Linked DNA regions of Lonchura striata. The protein of the gene in region 1 interacts with the protein of each later gene in a pairwise test. Links are inferred from orthologs where the notes say so. Each region holds a gene or a part of one and is shown in the gene's direction. Other genes may lie near its edges.

Region 1 (7,725 bases):
GGAATACACATTTTAATGTATTTTTGCACAGAAATGCACTGTATTTCACTGAAGGAATACATGCTGCACTGGTGTTTGTAGTGCATTTAACCTCTTGGTGCGAAGCCCTTGTAAATCTTCCAAATGTGGTCGTTGAATTCCCTGATGTTTTGTAAGACAGTTTCATAACTGAAGTCCTTTGGTCCAGTAACAATGACAAATTCTTATAAACCGAACCTTATTTGTGGAAGTGACTGAACTATATTTGTGGATCTTGGAACATTCTGGAGTTTTTTGATTGTCTAGAAAATAAAACTCTCTGAGAGGGTTGCTTTGATTTTTTTTTACTGTTCCCATGTTGACTGAGTAAACCTGAGAGTGTCTAGATTGAAGGCTCACGTTTCAATTTCTGGCATTAAAATTAAATAATTATTTCCATTCCATTAATTTGGCTTAAAAATTAATATATCCATTTTTGGGGACAGCTAGTTTGCAAGAAAAATCAGGTTTTTGGAAGGAAAAGACTAAAAGGATTCTGTTCACGTAAACCCCAGCCAAGTGAGACTTTTAGAAAATATTTTATATTATTAATACTGGCTTTTTTTTAACAGTCTTGTAGTTTTATGTTAATTCAACTTTTTAAACTCCTTTTAAAACTTCTCATTTTTCTTGCTAGGAAGCAGACACTGATCCCAGCTAGGAGGAAATACATGTGAGGAGGACAACATCCCAAATATCCTTTCCAGAAAATTTTGTGTTATATCCAATATTTGACAAAAAAATCTTGCTGCAAGTAGACAAATTTCCCTTTTTTTTGTTTTTTTTTTTAATTTTTTTTCTCATGAAAGATTGAGATGCTGAAGAACTCAGAGGGGATGAGGGTGGTTATCTCCACCCTTGGTGAAAAGGATTCTTTGTGGGGGAAGGAGGAGGAGAGCAGGGCAGCTGAGGGTGTCAAAAAGCTTGGGAATGATTTGGGGAGGAGAATTGTTTGGATCCAGCCCTAAGTCATCAACATGAGCTGGATGCAAATGTGGGACAGTTGGGTGTTCTGAGAAACAGCTGAAAATAAAGAGTTTAAGGAGGGTTTTAATTGTCCTGCTGGATCAGGATTAGGATCAGGCTTTCCCTAAACTGGCCTTGCTGCCAGAGGGAAGAAGGGAAGATTCCTCCCTGGGTTTAGGACAGGACATTCCAATTTCCTGCTCATTTGGAAAAAGGAAAAATCTCCTGGTGCCCTGGAGGCTCCATGGATTTGTACTGGAGATTTGGTTTTATACTCGAGATTTCGATTTGTGCTTCTAGATTGGATTTGTATTTGAGATTTGGACTTGTACTTGAAATTTGGATTTGTACTCGAGATTTGGACTTGTGCTTCTAGATTGGGATTTGTGCTTGGAGATTTGGATTTGTGCTTCTGGATTTGGATTTGTGCTTCTACATTTGGATTTCTACTCGAGATTCAGATTTCTACTCGAGATTTGGATTTGGGATTTGGATTTGTGCTTCTAGGCTCAGATTTGTACTCGAGATTTGGATTTCTACTCAAGATTTGGATTTGTACTCGAGATTTGGATTTGAGATTTGGATTTGAGATTTGGATTTGTGCTTCTAGGCTCAGATTTGTACTCAAGATTTGTATTTGTATTTGAGATTTGGATTTGAGCTTGAGCACAAAGGTGGAACTCAAACCCCGGGTGATTCAACACTCCTGGTTTGGTCCTTGGGAAAGGTGAGGAGAGGAATGATGATGCAAATGAAGACAACCCCAATCTAAGGTGGCAGTGATCACATGAAAGTTGTAATCCCATGCCTGATTAATTTCTAGGCTTTGAACAGTTCCTTAAGTTGTTCTAGTATAAGCTCTTGAGTTTTCCTTGGTAAAAAATATCCCTGGATAATTCAAGTTGTAAGATGCACCATAACTGAAGGCTGTGATTCCTGAGGAATGTTTATTTTGAAGAGAACTGCAATCTTTAAATTGGTGCCACAGTTAATTAAACTATTATAATACATTACACTATACCATTATATATTATTACAGTTAATCCTATTTGGTTACCAAACCCAAGGAGAAATGTACATTAATTTTTCTGTGAGCAAGAAAAATATTAATTTTTTTTAGTGTGATTGTTCTCTGAAGAGCAGACTCTACATTCTGGCTGTGAGGAGCAGCTCCTTCACACTGCTGCCAAGCACATTCCCTCTGGATAAACTCTCCAAACAGCATCTCAAGTGGAACTTTCTCAGCTGAAATTTGCTCTAAAATTTAGAAATAAAACCTAAAAAACCTCTCTGATGTCTGGGATTGTTTGGGATGCATTATTGTGCACAGCAAGATGAAATCAGCATCTCAAGTGGAACTTTCTCAGCTGAAATCGGTTCTAAAAGTTAGAAACAAAACCTAAAAAACCTCTCTGATGTCTGGGATTGTTTGGGATGCATTATTGTGCACAACAAGATGAAATCAGCCCCGTGGATGAGGAAACCAAAGTTTGTTCTGTGGCTGTTCCTGGATCCACAGCACAGCAGTGAGCAGGAGGTGCTCTGAGGAAAGCACTCGTAGCATCTTTAAAAATTCTAATTAAGCCACTCCAGATAACATTGACATTTCCCCCCATATTTTTTAAATTCTCTTGCCTGTTCCTGGCAGAAGGAGAACCCTCGAGCTCCTGTTGACATTGATATAAAACCCCACTGACAGAGGAGTGAAAGCACCACCCAGGCAAGTCAAACAGAACAAATACCTCCAGATAATTCTTTTCCAAAGGAAGCTTTCAGCTGATGGAATAATTTGGGCAGAAGTGTGGAAAAACATTTATAGAATATTGAGAAACATGGTGTCCCTGCCCATGATCTTTAAGATCCTTTCCAGCCCAAACCATCCTGGGATTCTGTGATTCCACATTAAATAAAAAGAGGTGCTACTTACTTGGCTTGACAGGCAAAAATAAACTTTAAAGGAATTCATTTCAATGGTATTAAAACCTGATACTAGAAATAAATGTTCTGGTTTATATATTAAATAATCTGATGGTTTAGTTGATTGCATTCTTTATTTCTCAGTGGTAAGAGCTGTGAGAAGCTGGTTTGAATTCCAGTTGTTTCATGTTCAAGAATGGTTGATTTAGAGCAGAATCTCACAGAAGCAGAATGGGTCTCATGAAGATTTTAAGAGCACGGCCTGGGTTTGAAAGGAGAATCTACAAAACAAAGAGAGTTTATGAAAAAGGAGGAATTAAGATGGAAAATAATATTGTAACATATACATATATATCTACAAAATATGAATGTAGAAATTAGAGATGACAATGTATATGATGTAGTGGGAGAATGGCTCTAATGATCAAAGGAAATAATCTTTGGGTTGTTATCTTTAGATAAATTCTTTAGCCAATTTTGCTACAATGGGCAAAGAAAGAGAAATTGTTTCAAGGTGGAATGTCTGAAGTTAGAGAAGAGAAGGCCAAAAATGCCACCAAGGGCTCGGTTAGGGAAGAACGGTTTCCATGGGGAAAATAAATATTTATGAAAAGTAACTAGGGCGTCCAAAACACAGAAAAGACCCTGGTGGTAAGAAGAGGAAGGGGAAAGACACTAAACTTCGAGGGAGAGAAGGTGAGAGGTTCAGGTCTCGCTTTCAGCCATGCTTTCTTCAGAAGATAACAGACACCAACAGAGACAAGAAGATGTCACATCTCCTTTGGAGGACGCCGCAAGAGAAAGGAGAAGGATTTGGGTCATCGAGGGCCCTGCTATAGATAAAGGTGTGAAAAGGAGGCATCTAGGGCATCCCATCCCCTCCCGGGCAGCATGTGGGTGTGGGAAGCGGCGAGCGGCGGCGGCCGCGGGGCGCGGGGGCCGCGGCAGGCGCTGGGCTGCGGCTGCAATCGGTGCGTTGCCCCTTTAATTGTGTCCCCAGCCCTCGGGCGTCTCTGTCCAACGCCCACGTCAGCAAATACCTTTTGTTTCTCTCCCGTTCGGGCTCGCAGGGCTCGGGGCTGCGGGAGCAGCGGCGCGTCGCCTGCAGGCACGGCGAGCCCCGAGGCGGAGCCGGGGATCCCGCAGCCACCGCCCGCTCCCCCCGGCTCGGCGGCAGCCGCCCGCAGCACCCCGCCGGTGAGTGGCGGCTCCCGCACGCCGGTAGGCCGGGCAGGGCGCTGGGATTGGGGCGGAACGGGCCCCGCAGCCAGCCCGGCTGCGAGGAGGGCGCGGGGCTCCGCAGCGGCCGCGGGCGCTTCGGGCCGCCCGGAGCCGCCGGGAACCGCTCGGAGCCGCTCGGTGCCGCCCGGAGCCGCCGGGAACCGCTCGGTGCCGCCCGGTGCCGGCGCTGCCGCGTCCCCGGCGGGCGCCATTTGCAGCCCCGGGCGCGGACACAAAGGGGCTGCGCGGGGCGGGCGGCGGAGGCGCTGCCGGCGGAAGCGGCTGCGGGCGGCGGGACGGGAGCGGCACCGGGCGCTGGGCACCGGGCACCGGGCACCGGGCGGGGACACGGGGGGCTCTGGCGGAGCGGCAGCCGCGGCTCCGTTCCCGCGGGCGGCACGGCCGGGCCGGGGCGCTCCGTGCGGGCGGAGGGGAGCGCGCAGCCGGCCGGGGCAGGCGGGCGCGGCGGTCCCGCGGTGGGAGCGGGGCCGGGCGGCTCCGGCGCCGTCGGGCGTCCCGGGCTGCCGGGGACCGGCCGGGCGGGTGAGTGACGGCGGCCGCGGCCAATGCCGGGGAGGCCGGGGCGCTGCCGCCGTGCCTTCCGCCCGAAGCGGGGCCCGGGCGGAGCGGGGAGAGGCGGAATCGCGGGTTCGAGGCGGAATCGCGGGTTCGAGGCGGAATCGCGGGTTCGAGACGGAATCGCGGGTTCGAGGCACGGCCGCGGTCGCAGCCGCAGCTGCTCTTGGCTCCTCGTCTTCCCGGAGCTGCCTGAAGGCTGCGCAGCTCCAGCGGGCGGCACGAGTCCAGCCCCGCATGCTGCCCCGCATCCCGGGAATGGATTTGCTGCCGGCTCTAGCACAGCCGTCCGTGCCAAATAACGCGGTCTTGGCTTCGCCATCCCTCTTGTTCTGTTGGGAAATGAATCTATGGTTGAGCATATCGTGGTTTAAATATATTTGTAGATTTACAGAAATGCTATTGTTTGTAAAGATAGCTGTAAAATTGGGTCTGACATGTTTGGCTGAGTTACACAGCACTGAAGTCGAGAGTGAAATAATTTTCTTCATTTTTTTTAGAGGAACGTTTCATTTCACCTTTTCTGGGATGGAGATTTCTTCTCACCAGTTTCACCTCTTGCAGCAACTAAATGAGCAGCGCAGGCAGGACTTGTTCTGTGACTGCAACATCCTGGTGGAGGGCAAAGTCTTCAAAGCCCATCGCAATGTGCTGTTTGCCAGCAGCGGCTACTTCAAAATGCTCCTTTCGCAGAGCTCGAAGGAGACGAGTCAGTCCACGACAGCCACTTTCCAGGCCTTTTCTCCTGACACCTTCACAGTTATCCTGGATTTTGTGTATTCAGGCAAACTGTCTCTCACTGGTCAGAATGTGATCGAAGTCATGTCGGCTGCCAGCTATCTGCAGATGACCGATGTGATCAGCGTGTGTAAAACCTTCATCAAGTCGTCGCTGGACATCAGTGAGAAGGAGAAGGATCGCTACTTCAGCCTGTCAGACAAAGATGTCAGCTCCAACGGCGTGGACCGATCCTGCGTGTACAGCGGAGGGTGGAGGGCAGAGAGCAGCCCCCCGCATTCCCACTCCAGCCCAGACCCTGGGACTTGTATGATGGGCGGCAACACTTGGAGCAATTTCAACTATTACCCCAGCTCTCAAAGAAATGCCCAGCAGCAGCTGTCTAAACACGAGCAGCGGCAGGATTCCATCAAGAAATCCCGGCACCTGGGGCTGCAGCAGCCTTCAGACATCCCCCACTATAAATCCAGCAAGCTGGAGGACAGGGCTGCCGAGCCCGCCGGCCACGCCGCGCCGCCCGAGGAGCAGGTCCACATCGACACGGAGGTGGAAGCTCCTCACGTGGGCTACCAGTTTGGCCAAGGGGCTGAGGTGATGCCCAGGGGCTTGGCTGTGTCGCAGCAGGAGCACGAGTCACCCCGCTCCTCCAGCAAATCCAAATCCTCCAAAGCTGAGGAGCAGTACGGGAGCATGCCCTCCATCCTGGGAGTCATGGGGAACTGGGCTGAAGGTGAGTGGGGTTTAGACACCTGTGAATCCTCTCTTCTGCCTCTGAGAAAATAGGTCTTACTCAATAGTAAAGCACAACTGTCAAAAAGACAGCTGTATTGTCCAGAAGTGTATGCTTAGAAAGTTTGAACTCATTTCCTTGAAATCATTCTGAGTTCTTGAAGTACCTGGGGTATTGAATTTAAAAATAAGTATAAGTTGGGATATTTTTAAGTTCATTTTCATAAAATCACAGAATACTTTGGGTTGGAAAGGACCTTAAAGCTCATCTTGCTCCACTCCCTGCCATGGGCAGGGACACCTCCCACTATCCCTGGTTGCTCCAGGCTCTGTCCAGGCTGGCTTTACCAGGTCTGTGTTAATACAGCCAATGGCCCACTCCTCCTTTGTTCCACTCCTGTGTAATCTACAGACAAACACAAATCCTTTGTGTTTGAAACAACCCGTGGATATTTTAATAAATGACCTGCTATTCTCCTCATAAAACACTTTTTCCTAGAGCATTACATGACACGATTTTGACTTTTTTTTTTAAATCCCATTATTTTCTGACAGATGACCTGTCCAGGATGAGGTTCAAGTGTCCATTCTGCAGCCACGTGGTGAAGAGAAAAGCCGACCTCAAGCGTCACCTTCGCTGTCACACGGGAGAGCGGCCGTACCCCTGCGAGGCGTGTGGCAAGAGATTCAGCAGGCTGGATCACCTCAGCAGCCATTTTCGAACTGTGAGTATTTTTAGCAACTGCATGATTTATTTAACATGTAAATCTGGCTAATTAAACACAGTGTGAGTGTATCTGGTTGATCTAATGACTCCTGTAAAGAAGAGGGGAATGGAACATTAATTTGGTTTGGCTGCAGTCGAATTGAAGGATAATTTGCAGGAAAGAGGAGGAATTTGTTGGGTAATTGATGGCTTGCAGAGGTTCTGCTCTCTGCAGCCTGTGAGAGCTCCAGTGGGCAATTACTGTGCTGGGGCTGGTGCAGTTCAGCGTTTGATGTCTCTGAAATTAAGGCAACATGTCACCCTGATTCTTAGGATTTTCTAAAGCCTTCTGAATTTACATTCTGTTGGAGAACTTTCCCACACAATTTCTGTAAACAACATATTGTTTACATTCTTTTATGAGGGTGGAGAAACTTGATGTACTAGTGGTTTGTCCAATGTGTTTGGAGAGGTGGCCCATTCACTCTCCAACCCAATGTCACCTTTGGGAAAGTATAAAAGTCGGAGTCAGAGAATAAACTTTCTTCTTTACCTTGGAAATAGCAGGTGGCTCGCGTCGTGCTTTCACGTGTCCTATAGCGACAGCAACGCTGCGATTTGATTTTTGCCATCTCCCAAAAAACCCATTGGTGTTTTACAAATCCATCCCTTCTCGATTTCCCCAGATCCACCAGGCGTGCAAGCCCATCTGCAGGAAGTGCAAGCGCCACGTCACCGAGCTGACGGGCCAGGTGGTGCAGGAGGGCACGCGGCGCTACAGACTGTGCAACGAGTGCCTGGCCGAGGCGGGCATCGACAGCATCCGCATTGACTTGGAGGCGGAGGCGCCTCTG
Region 2 (6,847 bases), on another chromosome or scaffold:
TCATTAGTGCCCTTCAGTTGCAAGAAGACCCAGTGGACCCTGCTTTTTCATGCCTTCAGATATGGTGAATAAACTGAAAAGTGTTAGCAGCATTTTCCTCCTTTAAAATTTAACACCAAATGATGGAAATTTGGTAGCCCCTCCTCCTTTCCTTCTCATATTTTATAGGGTCAGAATTATAAAAGCCCTTGGAAAAGCCCTTTTAGATCATTAATGCAGCACTGCCAAGATCACCAATATTCCATGTCCTCAGGTGCCACATCCACATGTTTTTTTGAACACTTCCAGGGATGGTGACTTCACCACTGTCCTGGGCAGCCTGTGCCAGTATTTTCCTTTAATGCACATTGTTAAAATACACTAATGCTGGTGGTAGCTTGTACTGGAGGTAGTAACCATAAATTCCGCTCACTCCCTTCCTTCTGCATCATCTGCTGACGTATCTTACTACTAATTAATGGTGATTAGCATGACATCCATCCATACTGATTCATACACGGCCTTTGCACTGAAAAGATGTGTGAGTGTATAGTTCATACCTGTGAACAGAAATGTGATGCTATGAAAGATGAAAAACAAGGGGAAAAAAGGAGGAACTGGAACAGGCTGCTTTTTCATGGAGCTGTAAAGTTTCTATTTCTGGGTCACTGGTTCCCTCTGACTGGTGGAAGATCTCTTCCTGGGGCAGGCTTGCTCCTCAGGGTATCTTCCCATAGCAAAAACGATCTGGAATGGTTCTGTTCAGAGTGCAACAAGAAGTGTGGGGAGGGATGGGGCTGGTCCCTCCTGGTGTAGCCTAGATCTCCAGGTGTTCTCCTCAAGGCAATTCCATCCTGTTGTCCTCAAAATCAGATTTATTATGTGATGTGCAACAAGCCAATAATTACACAGTTGAGAGAGATATTATTTGCACAAGCCTGGATGCTTGGTGGGTTTCCACAAATCCAACACACCCCACTGGACTTTCCACGCCATTATTTACAGAAGTTCATCGTCTTTTTCCAAGGTCAGCCTCTCTATTAAGATTATTTAGTAATTTCCATACAAGTTAGACAATCCCCAGCTAACTTCTCCACATGCAATGGGGAAGGGTCTGCACCTGGGCAAGGTCTTTTTGACCCTTAGGCATGATCTTAAGTATTATAATGAAGATAGTTCAGCTAGTTCAGCTGTAGGATATACAGACCTTGAATCCTTTGCCAAATTATCAATGTATACACACACATACATCAACATTTTGATTTACTACATCCCTAAAGCTTGTTAATTCCCATATGTTGTTGACTAAGGGCTGCTAGCTGCTGTCTTCCCATTCATTACATCTCCTTTCTTGCTGAATAGGTTTGAAAGTATAGAAAGAGTTTACATCAAAAAAAAATTCTATTTTTAAATAATCTTGATATATTCCATATTTTGCAAGTCCTGCTTCGGTTCCCCTCACAGAGATACCCCCGGACTGGGCTCACTGCCCGCTCCCCTCACGGAGGTACTAAGGCGGCTCAATGTCCGCTTCGGTTCCCCTCACGGAGGGGCGGGCGGGGCTCGTTACCGGTTCCCCTCACGGAGGTGCTAAGGCAGCTCATGGCAGTCCCGGTTCCCCTCACGGAGAAACCGTGCAGGGGTCGTCCCCGGTCCCCCTCACGAAGATGCAAGGCAGCTCATGGCAGTCCCGGTTCCCCTCACGGAGAAGCCGGGCGGGCTCGTTCCCGGCTCCCCTCACGGAGAGGCCGGTCCCCTCACGAAGATGCAAGGCGGCTTTATGGCCGTCCCGGTTCCCCTCACTGAGAGGCCGGTCCCCTCACGGAGGTGCAAGGCACCTCATGGCCGCTTCGGTTCCCCTCACGGACGGGCCGGTTCCCTCACGGAGAAGCCGGGCGGGGCTCGTTCCCGATTCCCCTCACGGAGAAGGCGGGCGGGCTCGTTCCCGGTTCCCCTCACGGAGAAGCCGGGCGGGCTCGTTCCCGGTCCCCCTCACGGAGAAGCCGGGCGGGCTCGTTCCCGGTTTCCCTCACGGAGAAGCCGGGCGGGCTCGTTCCCGGTCCCCTCACGGAGAAGCCGGGCGGGGCTCGCGCGCGGCTCCCGGCGCCGGCCGTGCCGTTGCGGCGGTGCCGGCAGGGGGCGCGGGCGCGGCCGTTCCGCCATGGCGGACTACGAGGCAGTGCAGCGCGGTCCGCTGCGGCTGAAGGGCAGCGGCGGGGCCCTGGGGGCCGGCAAGCGGTGAGGGGGGAGCCGGGGGGAACCGGGGGAGAACGGGGAGCGGTGAGGAGGGGTCGGGAGAACCGTGAGCGAGGAGGGGACACACAGCGCCGGGGCTGAGCTCTGACCGGGCGCTTCCCGCAGGAAGAAGAAGAAGGCGAAAGACAAGGCCCAGATGCTGGAGCAGATCGTGAGCAGCAAGAAGCAGGAGGAGGAGAAGAAGCGCGGGCTGGACAAGCGGACCCCGGCGCAGGTGGCCTACGAGAAGATGCAGGAGAAGCGGGTAAGGGTTTAAAAGCCGCTGTCACCCCTGGGGTGCGGCCGCTGAGGGGGCTGCGAGTGCCGGGAGTAACCGGCCTTAATGTGTCTCCTACAGCAAATGGAACGGATCCTGAAGAAAGCGTCGAAAACCCACAAGCAGCGAGTGGAGGTGAGCAAAACCATCCCGAGTCCATCAGGCCAGCGTGTTTTGTTGGGCTGAAGGAACTGTTCCGCCTTGTGAAACACAAGCCGGGACGCAGGGGGGGCTTGTGGTTCAACTTGGTGATGTCAGCACCCTGTTTTCTTTCTCTTTGCCTCCCCCAGGACTTCAACAGGCACTTGGATACTCTGACTGAGCATTACGACATTCCCAAAGTCAGCTGGACTAAATGACCGGGCTGCTTTTCACGGCTCTGGAGCTGGAGTTGTGTTTTGTTTGTATCAAGCAGGGTTGCCATGTAAATCTGTCTTTTCTCTATATTGTCTAATACATCTTCTGAGCTTTTATGACTTCATACTGTCTTATTTTATAGACTTGTTATTTAAAACCAATCATCCAGCAATGTCTCCTGTGGGCTGAGGAGCTCTGGTTTACATCGATGGAGAGGGCTGTTTTTTTTTAGTGTTTATAGTGAGATTAAGGCCAGAACGAATTGCTGTGAGCCAGATGGAAAACATTCCTTTTATTTTGTTAGTTCTAACAGTACTCCTTTTTTCAAGTGGAGTCTGACAGTCTCATTAAGTTTCTCTTGTAAGTTATGTGAATTGTATAATTACTTTCTATCAAGTTCTGTCAGAGGCCATGTTGCAAAACATGAAATATGTAAAATTGTTTTAGGAAAGGATATTCTTTGGTATTTGATCTTTGTATACTTTCAAGCCTAACCAGCAAGAAGGGAGGTTTAATCCATAAAATAGAGAGCAGCCAACAAGCTCTGAGTGATGTCCAAGTTTTGATAGCTGGATTTCTGGGATCCCACCGAGCATCGAGGCTTGTGCAGCTCTGAAATAAATAATCAGCGTGTCTCTCGAGTGTGTAATTGTGGCAAACAGTTATCATTTCTATCTTGAGTATCAACAGTATCATTTCTGTCTTCCAGAGGGGTCTGCTGCAAGTTGTAAATTCGATGTAATTTATTAAAACGCTGCTTCCACCCCTTTTTTGGGATGGAATGAAATGGGGCGTGTGGAGTTTGATTGTTACCCCCTCTGAGGGATGTATCACGATGTCGGAACTCCCAAACCGGGATGTTCTTAACCCGAATTACGCTCTCCGTGTGTCCGTGCCCAGCTCAGCCCGCGGACCGGCGCGCCGGGACTATTTAACGGCGCTGCCGCGGTGTCCTTCCGCCGCGCCGGCGTCACTTCCTGCGGAAGCGGAAGCGGCAGCGGCGGGCGGGACGGGCCCGGCCGGGGCGATGTCGGCCAGCGCCGTCTATGTGCTGGACCTGAAGGGGAAGGTGAGGCCCGGCGCGGAGCTGCGGGTTCCGCTGCCTTGGGACGGCTGCGGGGCCGCGTTCCGCTCCCCGGGCTGCCGGCCCCCGCTTAGCCCAGCGGGGACGGGGGAGTTGTGGCCTGCAGCCCCTCGCCGGTAAACGGGGACAGGGAGTTGTGGGCAGCCCCTCGCCGGTAAACGGGGACAGGGAGTTGTGGGCAGCCCCTCGCCGGTAGAGATGTTGGGTGAGGCGGCATCCCCGGGGTGATTAATCTCTGTGTTAGCGTTCAGGAGCACACATCATCGCGGGATATGATTATGTGCAGGTGCTTTTATTGAGAGCTTTGGGAATCAGGGGTACAGACCCAAATTGACTCCGACATGGCTTTCGAGCTGAACGTATTTTATATTATTATCGTTATATAACTTACATAAAAACTGGGGATGGGAATGGGGATTGGAAATTTGGAATGGAAAACTGAAACTGGGAGTGGGAAACTGGGAATGGAAAATTAGGAATGGAAATCTGGGAGTGGGCATGAGAATGGGGATGGAAAACTGGGAATGGAAAACTGACAATGGGGATGGGAACTTATTAAATTTATATTGTTCTATTGTATACATTGACAAGAGTTTCTCGTGATCTTCCTTAGGCCCCCTGACCACAGTTTCTCATGATTATTCTTACAATTAAACAGTAATTAATTACTAAGCAATCATCACATCTAACAATTATATCATTTATCATGTACTAGGTACACAGGTGCAGTTCTAGCAAGGTACAAGTCTTCATGTACCTAGGGTATTTAATTTTTTCAGGGCCTACTAAGCTTAATTTTCCTTTTAACCCTAAATCCCCATGATTTTAAAACCCTTTTCTTGTCATCTGCCGGTATCCTAGCTGCTTTGCTCAGAAGAATTGTGCATTTTCCTATCCTAAAACCATTCTTAGAGCCTGAGCAGTAATAGAGGTCTGGAAAATATTAATAGATTTTGCAATTACATGTTGGTGTTTGCAAAGTGTTTCAGCATTGTGATTTGCACTTACAAATGCAGAGAGGCTTGAGGGAAGCTGGATGATTTTAGAGGGGTTTATCCAGCATTTGTGTGGCTTGCATGGTAACGTCCTTGTGAAAGAGAAGAAAGAAGGATTTGGTTGCTTACAGGTTCTGATCTGTCGGAATTACCGTGGAGATGTGGACATGTCAGAGGTGGAACATTTTATGCCAATCCTTATGGAAAAGGAAGAAGAGGGGACGCTTTCTCCTATCTTAGCACATGGAGGAGTTCGTTTCATGTGGATTAAACATAACAACCTGTATCGTATCCTTTGTGCTGCAGATGTGCTGACCTGCCAAGGGTTGCTGCTGTGGTTTTAATGTCAGAATGCAAGTTGAAGTATGGGTGAAGTGGTATAAAGTGGCTATATTCAATAAAGTTGGTCATATTAAATAAGGGGTTTTTTGTGCTTTACATAGTGTCATATATACCAGCAGCATAAAGTCCAGAAAAGTGTTCTAATTTTACTCTAATTAATGTCTTCCTGAATGTTATCTTCATATCTCTTTAGATCATTAGTGCTGTTAAGTAGTTAATGCATAATTCTTCCAGGCAACTCTAAGTGCCTTAAATTAGGCTTTTTAAACTGCATTTAGTAAGTGTTTTTTTTTTTAATGCATATTCCTGAACATCCTTTATCAGTTGTTGCAACTTCTAAGAAAAATGCTTGTGTATCACTGGTGTTTTCATTTTTATATAAAGTAGTTCAGGTGAGTATATTTCAGAAGTAACCTTTATGTTCTGTCTAAATAGAAGGGCATAGAGCTTTCACATTTTTTAAGAACTTCAACAATAGTGTTTTTACTTTATATTTGATTATTTTGTTGAACTATCTTCTTAACCACTAATAAGGGCACTGATATTTTGTAGCTGTGTGGGCAGAGTGCTCTAAGTAGTTACACAAGACCTGAGCACCTGGAGGAGATTGTGAACTGGTGCATGTGTTGTCATGCCTCATACAGATCCTGTGCTTGCTTCATATCCAGAAAGATATTTTTTCATAATAGTTTCTTCTATGATTCTCTGTATCTGTTTTAATTGTGGTGGGTTTCCTGGGGCTGATCTGAGCAGAATGCTGTTTGGGAAGTATGGGGTTGGGGTTGGAACTTTACAGGATTATTATTTTAGATGCAGGAATACCTTCTGTGTGTGCTGTGCTGCCTCAGTTAATGTCCTTCTTCTCCCTCCCCCTCCTCTTGTTGCATTTCAGGTTTTTTCTGAATATTTCAAGGAGTTGGAAGAAGAGAGCATTAGGGATAATTTTGTTATTATTTATGAGTTGTTAGATGAGCTTATGGATTTTGGTTATCCACAAACCACTGATAGTAAAATTTTACAAGAGTAAGTATCACTCAACAGTGACAAAGCCCTTGGAATGTTTTGAGCCTTTTTCCATAGGCAAACAAATGTTTGGGTGTGTTCTAATTATCAAAAGTATTAATTTTATTTTTTTTCTGTGCCAATTTTCTGGTTGTGAAGGTACATCACTCAGGAAGGCCACAAACTTGAAACTGGAGCCCCACGCCCGCCTGCCACTGTTACAAATGCTGTTTCATGGAGATCAGAAGGGATAAAATACAGGAAAAACGAGGTGTTCCTGGATGTCATAGAGTCTGTTAACCTTTTGGTGGGTACCTTGGACTTCAACTTTTATGTAAGAATTGTAGTAAAAAGTGTTAAAAAGGGCTTTTTGTATGCGAACCTGCAACAAAAAGTCTGATTGTGGATGTGTTCTGTGACACTCAAAGCAATGTTATCATTAAGTTCCCATGTAATCATTAATTAAGTAATGTAATAATAATTAAGTAACATAATCATTAAGGAAATCCAGTACAAATAATGCTTTAATTGTGTGTATTGCTGATTTTTGGATATGTCCTTTGATCCTCTATACTG
Region 3 (7,080 bases), on another chromosome or scaffold:
TCGGGGGCGCCGTCGCCGGCGGCGGGCGGGCGGGCGGCCAATGGGAGAGGGCCGCGCGCGGCCTCGGGCCAATGGCAGGGCGGCGGAGGCAGGGCGAGGGGCGGCGGGAGTATAAAAGGCGGCGGCACCTCCTCCCCCCTCCGCAGTGCCGGGCGGCGCCGGGCCGGGACGGACGGAGCGAGTGTTCCTAAACCCCCTCCCCCGCCAGCCATGAGCCCCCTCGGCGTCCTCGGCCCCGTCCTGTTCGGAGCCCTCCTGGCGGCCGCCGGCCCCACCCAGTTCTTCCGCGAGGAGTTCGGGGATGGAGGTGAGGGAGGGGCCGGGAGGGGGTCGCTGAGGGCGGGGCCTGAGGGGGGGGGGCTTTTGAGGTGAAGGGGTTGAGGGGGGGCGGTGCCTGGGGAGTCTGAGGGGAGTCTGAGGGGGAGGCAGGAGGCTGGGAGGGCCCTCTTGTGTCTTGTGAGGGGAGAGAATGGAGAGACCTTCCCGTCTTTTCTGAAGGGAGAATTAGGGGATCCTCTTGTGGTCTGTGAGGGGAGGGAATGGGAGCACCCCGTGTGACTTGTAAGGCGAGAAAGGAGGGAGCCTGTTGTGTTTTGTGAAGGGAGAGAATTCAGTGACCGCCCCCCCCCTCACCGTGTTCTGAGAGGGGAAAATGGAGTGATCCCGCTGTGTTCTTTAAAGAAATAATGGGGGGGACTGATCTGTGTTCTGTGAGGGGAACAGAACAGAATGGGGGCACTCTGCTGTGGTCTCTGAGGGAAACGAGGAGGGGATCCTCGGGTGTTGTGTGAGGGCAGAGAATGTGGAACGTGCTGCTCCCTGAGGTGACAGGGCGTGCAGGAGCCACTCCTCAGGTGTGGGCAGCGAGTGGGAGTCAGGGCAGGCAGGACGAAGCTGCTGAGGAATCCCTGAGCCAGCAAGGGTCACTGGAGGGACAGGCTGAGGGGGCTCAGCCTCAGCAGAGCAGGTGGACAAGAGAGAAAAGAGCAGGAAAAAGGCTCGTGAGGAACGCAGCAGCCACATGGAGAGGGTTCCTGGCGGGTGGGGGGACTCAGCTTTCCTCTGCGAGCCTAAAACCATCCAGCAAAGAGACCCTGCCCCAAGCCCTGAGCTGGGCGGGCAGGAGGGCTTTGGGGGTGCTGATCCTGCCCCCTCACAGACGCCTGGACCCGCCGGTGGGTGGAATCCAAGCACAAACCCGACTACGGCCGCTTCGTCCTCACCGCCGGCAAGTTCTACGGCGACGCCGAGAAGGACAAAGGTGAGCCGGGGAGCACGGCAGGCGGAGGGGGAAAGACCTCGAGGCTGGGGTTTTCTCCCCCTTCCCCAACCACGCCCCACGTCCCGCAGGGATCCAAACGAGCCAGGACGCCCGGTTCTACGCGCTGTCGTCGCGCTTCGAGCCCTTCAGCAACCGCGACAAGACGCTGGTGGTGCAGTTCACTGTCAAGCATGAGCAGAACATCGACTGTGGCGGCGGCTACGTCAAGCTCTTCCCGGCCAGCCTCAGCCAGGAGGACATGCACGGCGACTCCGAGTACAACATCATGTTTGGTGGGTGTCCCCCAAGCCCCCCAGGGTGGTCTCAGCCCCTTTCCCTGACCCTGAGTCTCCCCCTCGCCCCCCAGCCCCCTTGGGGTGGTCTTTTCCCTAGCACCATGTCCCCCCAGCCCCCCAGGGTGGTCTCAGCCCCTTTCTCTGACCCCATTGCCCCCCCTTTGCCCCTCAGCCCCTTTCCGTGACCCTGTGTCCCCCCCAGCCCCAGTGAGACAGAGTAAAAAATGTAATAAAATAGAAATATATTTAGCGTAACGTGAAATCAGCAAAATAAATATGTATGAGCCTATTACTAAATTTTATGCTTGTAGAAATTAGTCAGGGTTATAAAAAAGGATCAGGAGTTCCACGGGTTCACATGTCCATTGAAAAGTGATGAGTCCCCACATGCATCCACAGCACTGTAAATAAATATACTTTTGCCTACAAATCTTTGTTAAAATGGTGAAATTTAATTTTTCTCCATGTTTCGCCAGGCCCCGACATCTGCGGCCCCGGCACCAAGAAGGTGCACGTGATTTTTAACTACAAAGGGAAGAACGTGCTGATCAATAAGGACATTCGCTGCAAGGTGGGTCTGGGGGCTTTTGGGGGTGGGGGGTCCTGCTGTCCCCTGCTGTGTAGGGTCGGGGGGGGGGTCTGCAGCCCTGCTGAGCCCCCCCTGTGCCCCCCAGGACGACGAATTCACCCACCTGTACACGCTGGTGGTGCGGCCGGACAACACCTACGAGGTGAAGATCGACAACGCCCGCGTGGAGTCGGGGAGCCTGGAGGAGGATTGGGATTTCCTGCCCCCCAAAAAGATCAAAGACCCCGAGGCCAAGAAACCTGAGGACTGGGATGAGCGGGCCAAGATCGATGACCCCGAGGACACCAAACCTGAGGTGGGGAGGGGGCTTGGAGGGGCTTTTGGGGGGGGATTGGAGGGGTTTTAGGGAGGAACCTGGGGGGTCTCCAGGAGATTTGGGGGGGTGTTGTGAAAAGGTCCTGGAAGGATTAGGGGGAGAATGGGGGGGACTGGGTGAGAGGTGGGGAGGCGAGGGTGGTCCTGGGGAGCCACAGCAGCCCCCTGAGCCCCCCAACCCACCCCCCTTGCAGGACTGGGACAAACCCGAGCACATCCCGGACCCCGACGCCAAGAAACCGGAGGATTGGGACGAGGAGATGGACGGGGAGTGGGAGCCCCCCGTGATCCAGAACCCCGAGTACAAGGTGAGGCCTGGGGGGGCTGCTGCGGTGTTGGGGGGCTGCTGGGGGAGGGGCTGAGCCCCCTCTGAGCCCCAACTTGTGCCCCCCACCAGGGCGAGTGGAGGCCGCAGCAGATCGACAACCCCGACTACAAGGGCAAGTGGGTGCACCCTGAGATCGACAACCCCGAGTACAGCCCCGACCCCCTGCTCTACTCCTACGACAGCTTCGGGGTCATCGGCCTCGACCTCTGGCAGGTGAGGGGGGGTCCCCAGGAGGGGTCTCGGGGGGTCCCCAGGAGCTGCAGGACCCCCCCTGACTGCCCCGTGCCCACAGGTGAAGTCAGGCACCATCTTCGACAACTTCCTGATCACGGACGACGAGAAACTGGCGGAGGAGATCGGGAACGAGACCTGGGGGGCCACCAAGGTAAGGGGGGGACAATGAGACCTGGGGGGGTCACCAAGGTGCGGGAGGGACAATGACACCTAGGGGGCCACCAACGAGACCTGGGGGGCCACCAAGGTACCGAGGGGATGAGTCCTGGGGGCCACCAATGAGACCTGGGGGGCCATCAAGGTACGGGGAGGACGAGCCCCCCACGACCCCCGTGACCTCCCCGCCGCCTCCCGCAGGACGCAGAGAGGAAGATGAAGGAGCAGCAGGACGAGGAGCAGCGGAAGAAGCAGGAGGAGGAGGAGAAGCAGCAGAAGGAAGAGGAAGGGGATGATGAGGGCGACGAGGAGGAGGAGGATGAGGACGAGCCCGAGGCCGAGCCCGAGGAGGCGGAGGCGGCCCCGCGGGACGAGCTGTGAGGGCCCCGCGGCGGGCCCCGTTCTGTCTCTGTGAGACCTGGACTCTTTTCTATGGGCGCCGGCACCGAACCGGCACGGCCGGCACCGAACCGGCACGGCCGGCACCGAACCGGCACCGAACCGGCACCGGGCGCCCTGCGGGGCGAGGACTCAGGACCAGCGCCGGGGGTGGGGAGGGATCGGAGAGGGGTGGGAGGGGTGGGGAAAGCACCGGCGGTGTCGCACGGGACTGTACGGGGGGTGTCGTGATCCGGTTTCTATTAAATTAACGACGGTCCCGCCGCCGTTTCGCTCCTCGTTGTTTCCTCCTTGTTCCCCGCCCGCGCCATGTTGTGGCCGCCGCCATTTTGTGCCGGCGCCGCGTCACGTGATCGGGGGCGGGAACGAGACCCGCGCGGGTTTTTCCCGCGTCACGTGACAGCGGAAACTCCATTGCCCCCGCCCCGTTTTTTTTTCCCCGCGGGAGCGTGGCGCGCGCGCGGGCGCGCCGTGACGCACTTCCGGCGCCGCGGCGGAAGCGGCGGGGCCGCCTCTAAGATGGCGGCGGCGTGAGTTGCATGTTGTTGTCGTGGGGCCGCCGGGAGGAGCCGCCGCCGCCGCCCCGCGCCCGTCCCGCCATGGCCGTCACCGTCACGCTCAAGACGCTGCAGCAGCAAACCTTCAAGATCCGCATGGAGCCGCACGAGACGGTGAGGACGCGCCCGGGGGCCGGGGATGGGCACGGAGCCCGCCCCCCCCCACATCCCCCCCCGAGCCCTCACGCCGCGGGGCCGGAGCCTCCCGGGGCTTCCTTGAGGTGCGGGGGGACACCGAGGGGCGGCCCCGTGTGCCCCCCGCCCGTTCGGGTGCGGATGGCACCGGCAGGGGCGGCTCCGTGCGCCCCCGGTTCTGGGGGGGGGTCTCGGCTCTTTTTTGGGGAGGGGTCTGCGTGTCCCCGATGTGAGGAGAGCGAGGGGCGGCACCCGGGGAGCTCCATGTGCCCCCAGTCCCCAATTTGGGGAGGGGGCTTCGTGTTCCCTCAATTCTCATTTTGGGGAGGGGGCTCCGTGTGCCCCCAACTCTCATTTTGGGGAGGGGGCTCCGTGTCCCTCCAATCCCCATTTGGGGAGGGGGCTCCGTATCCCTCTAGTTCTCATTTTGGGGAGGGGGCTCCATGTTCTCTCAATTCTCTTTTTGGGGCGGGGGCTCCGTGTTCCCCCAATCCCCATTTTGGGGAGGGGGCTCCGTGTCCCTCTAGTTCTCATTTTGGGGAGGGGGCTCCGTGTGCCCCCAGTTCTCATCCCTGGGGGGGGGCCTCTGTGTCCCCTATTTTTGGGGGGCTCCCTGCTATTATTCGCCCCCAGACCCCCCCACTTTGGGGGAGCTTAGACCCCCGTGGGAAGGGCAATTTTTTTCGGGGCGTTTCTTCCACAATATTTGGGGCTTGGGGGGGGCAGTTTTGGGGTGCCCTGAGCCCCCGGGGTGCTGTTTCAGGGTGCAGTTTTGGGGAGCCTTTTGGGGTGCCCTGAGCCCCTGGGGAGCAGTTTTGGGGTGCAGTTTTGGGGTGCCCTGAGCCCCTGGGGGGCGGTTATGGGGTGCCCTGAGCCTGTGGGGGGCCCCGAGGTGCAGTTTTGGGGTGCAGTTTTGAGAGCCCTCTTGGGGAGCAGTTTTTGGGAGCCGTTTCGGGAGCTGTTTTGGGGTGCAGTTCTGGGAACCGTTTCGGGATGCAGTTTTGGGAGCCGTTTTGGGGTACAGTTCTTGGGAGCAGTTTCAGGGTGCCCTGAGTCTCCGGAGTGCAGTTTTGGGGTGCAGTTTTGGGAGCCCTTTTGGGGTGCAGTGTTTGGGAGCCGTTTCGTGGTACCATTTCGGGGTGCCGTTTTTGGGAGCTGTTTTGGGGTGCAGTTTTTGGAAGCAGTTTCAGGGTGCCGTTTTTGGGAGCTATTTTTGGGAGCAGTTTCAGGGTGCTGTTTCGGGATGCTGTTTTTGGGAGCCGTTTCGGGGTGCAGTTTCAGGGTGCCGTTTTTGGGAGCCATTTTGGGATGCAGTTTTGGGGTGAAGTTTTTGGGAGCCGTTTTGTGGGACCGTTTCAGGGTACCGTTTTGGGAGCCGTTTTTGGGATCTGTTTCAGGGTGAAGTTTTTGGGACCTGTTTTGTGGTACCGTTTTGGGTGCTGTTTTTGGGAGCCGTTTTGGGGTGCTGTTTTTGGGAGTTGTTTCGTGGTACCATTTTGGGAGCCATTTCGGGGTGCCGTTTTTGGGAGCCGTTTTGGGATGCAGTTTCGGGGTGCAGTTTCGGGGAGCCCTGAGGCCCTGGGGTGCAGTTTCGAGGTGCCATTTCAGGGTGCAGTTTCGGGGTGCAGTTTTGGGGAGCTGTTTCAGGGTGCCCTGAGCCCCCGGGGTGCAGTTTTGGGGTGCTCTGGGAGCCCCTGGGATGTCGTTTCGGGGTGCAGTTTCGGGAGCCACTTCAGGGTGCACTTTTGGGGTGCCATTTCGTGGTACCATTTCAGGATGCCATTTTTGGGAGCCGTTTCGGGAGCAGATTTTGGGGAGCTGTCTCATGGTACCGTTTTGGGAGCTGTTTCGGGAGCAGTTTTTGGGGAGCTGTTTCATGGTACCGTTTGGGGAGCCGTTTTCGAGAGCAGTTTTTGGGGAGCTGTTTCATGGTACCGTTTTGGGAGCTGTTTTCGGGAGCAGTTTTTGGGGAGCTGTTTCCTGGTACCATTTTGGGAGCCGTTTTCGGGAGCAGATTTTGGGGAGCTGTTTCATGGTACCGTTTTGGGAGCCGTTTCGGGAGCAGTTTTTGGGGAGCTGTTTCATGGTACCATTTTGGGAGCCGTTTTCGGGAGCAGATTTTGGGGAGCTGTTTCCTGGTACCATTTTGGGAGCCGTTTTCGGGAGCAGATTTTGGGGAGCTGTTTCATGGTACCGTTTTGGGAGCCGTTTCGGGAGCAGTTTTTGGGGAGCTGTTTCATGGTACCGTTTTGGGAGCTGTTTCAGGAGCAGATTTTGGGGAGCTGTTTCATGGTACCGTTTTGGGAGCCGTTTCAGGAGCAGTTTCGGGGTGCTGTTTCTGGAGCTGTTTTGGGTGCCATTTTTTGGGGCGCAGGTGCGGGCGCTGAAGGAGAAGATCGAGGCCGAGAAGGGCAGCGAGGCGTTCCCCGTGGCCGGGCAGAAGCTCATCTACGCCGGCAAGATCCTGAGCGACGACGTCCCCATCCGCGAGTACCGCATCGACGAGAAGAACTTCGTGGTGGTCATGGTCACCAAGGTGGGGGGCCCTGGGTGGGGCCTGAGGGGTCTGGGGGCCGTTTGGGGGGACCCGGAACCATTTGGGGGTCCCTGTGTGGGGCCTGAGGGGTCCTGGGGAGGGATTTGGGGGTCCCTGTGTGGGGTCTGAGTCTGGGGGCCGTTTGGGGGGACCCGGAGCCATTTGGGGGTCCCTGTGTAGGGTCTGAGGGGTCTGGGGGCTGTTTGGGGGAAGCCTGAGGGGTCCTTGGGAGGGATTTGGGGGTCCCTGGGAGGGATTTGGGGTCCCTGTGTGG

What was found. The genes of interacting proteins can lie anywhere in the genome.
Region 2: the proteins of zinc finger and BTB domain-containing protein 8A (region 1) and AP1M1 interact in binary tests that used the Homo sapiens proteins (3 or more experiments, as listed by UniProt). The two-hybrid records come from large-scale screens. The link is inferred for Lonchura striata from reciprocal best matches to the Homo sapiens genes ZBTB8A and AP1M1.
Region 3: the proteins of zinc finger and BTB domain-containing protein 8A (region 1) and RAD23A interact in binary tests that used the Homo sapiens proteins (3 or more experiments, as listed by UniProt). The two-hybrid records come from large-scale screens. The link is inferred for Lonchura striata from reciprocal best matches to the Homo sapiens genes ZBTB8A and RAD23A.

The regions. Positions count from the first base shown.
Region 1 is NC_134628.1:951,503-959,227, reverse strand, and holds the start of zinc finger and BTB domain-containing protein 8A, read left to right. Parts: upstream 1-4,706; 5' UTR 4,707-4,935; coding exon 4,936-6,166; intron 6,167-6,720; coding exon 6,721-6,890; intron 6,891-7,557; coding exon 7,558-7,725. UniProt on the Homo sapiens protein: May be involved in transcriptional regulation.
Region 2 is NC_134630.1:4,653,045-4,659,891, reverse strand, and holds the start of AP1M1 (AP-1 complex subunit mu-1), read left to right. Parts: upstream 1-3,837; 5' UTR 3,838-3,875; coding exon 3,876-3,917; intron 3,918-5,058; coding exon 5,059-5,215; intron 5,216-5,593; coding exon 5,594-5,661; intron 5,662-6,161; coding exon 6,162-6,292; intron 6,293-6,430; coding exon 6,431-6,578; intron 6,579-6,847. Other genes in the region: protein FAM32A, read left to right, coding at 2,141-2,217, 2,341-2,479, 2,573-2,626, 2,782-2,850. UniProt on the Homo sapiens protein: Subunit of clathrin-associated adaptor protein complex 1 that plays a role in protein sorting in the trans-Golgi network (TGN) and endosomes.
Region 3 is NC_134623.1:1,284,011-1,291,090, forward strand, and holds the start of RAD23A (UV excision repair protein RAD23 homolog A), read left to right. Parts: upstream 1-4,070; 5' UTR 4,071-4,117; coding exon 4,118-4,249; intron 4,250-6,644; coding exon 6,645-6,806; intron 6,807-7,080. Other genes in the region: CALR (calreticulin), read left to right, coding at 211-307, 1,160-1,261, 1,351-1,554, 2,034-2,128, 2,232-2,441, 2,656-2,769, 2,859-3,002, 3,082-3,174 and 1 more. UniProt on the Homo sapiens protein: Multiubiquitin chain receptor involved in modulation of proteasomal degradation. Binds to 'Lys-48'-linked polyubiquitin chains in a length-dependent manner and with a lower affinity to 'Lys-63'-linked polyubiquitin chains.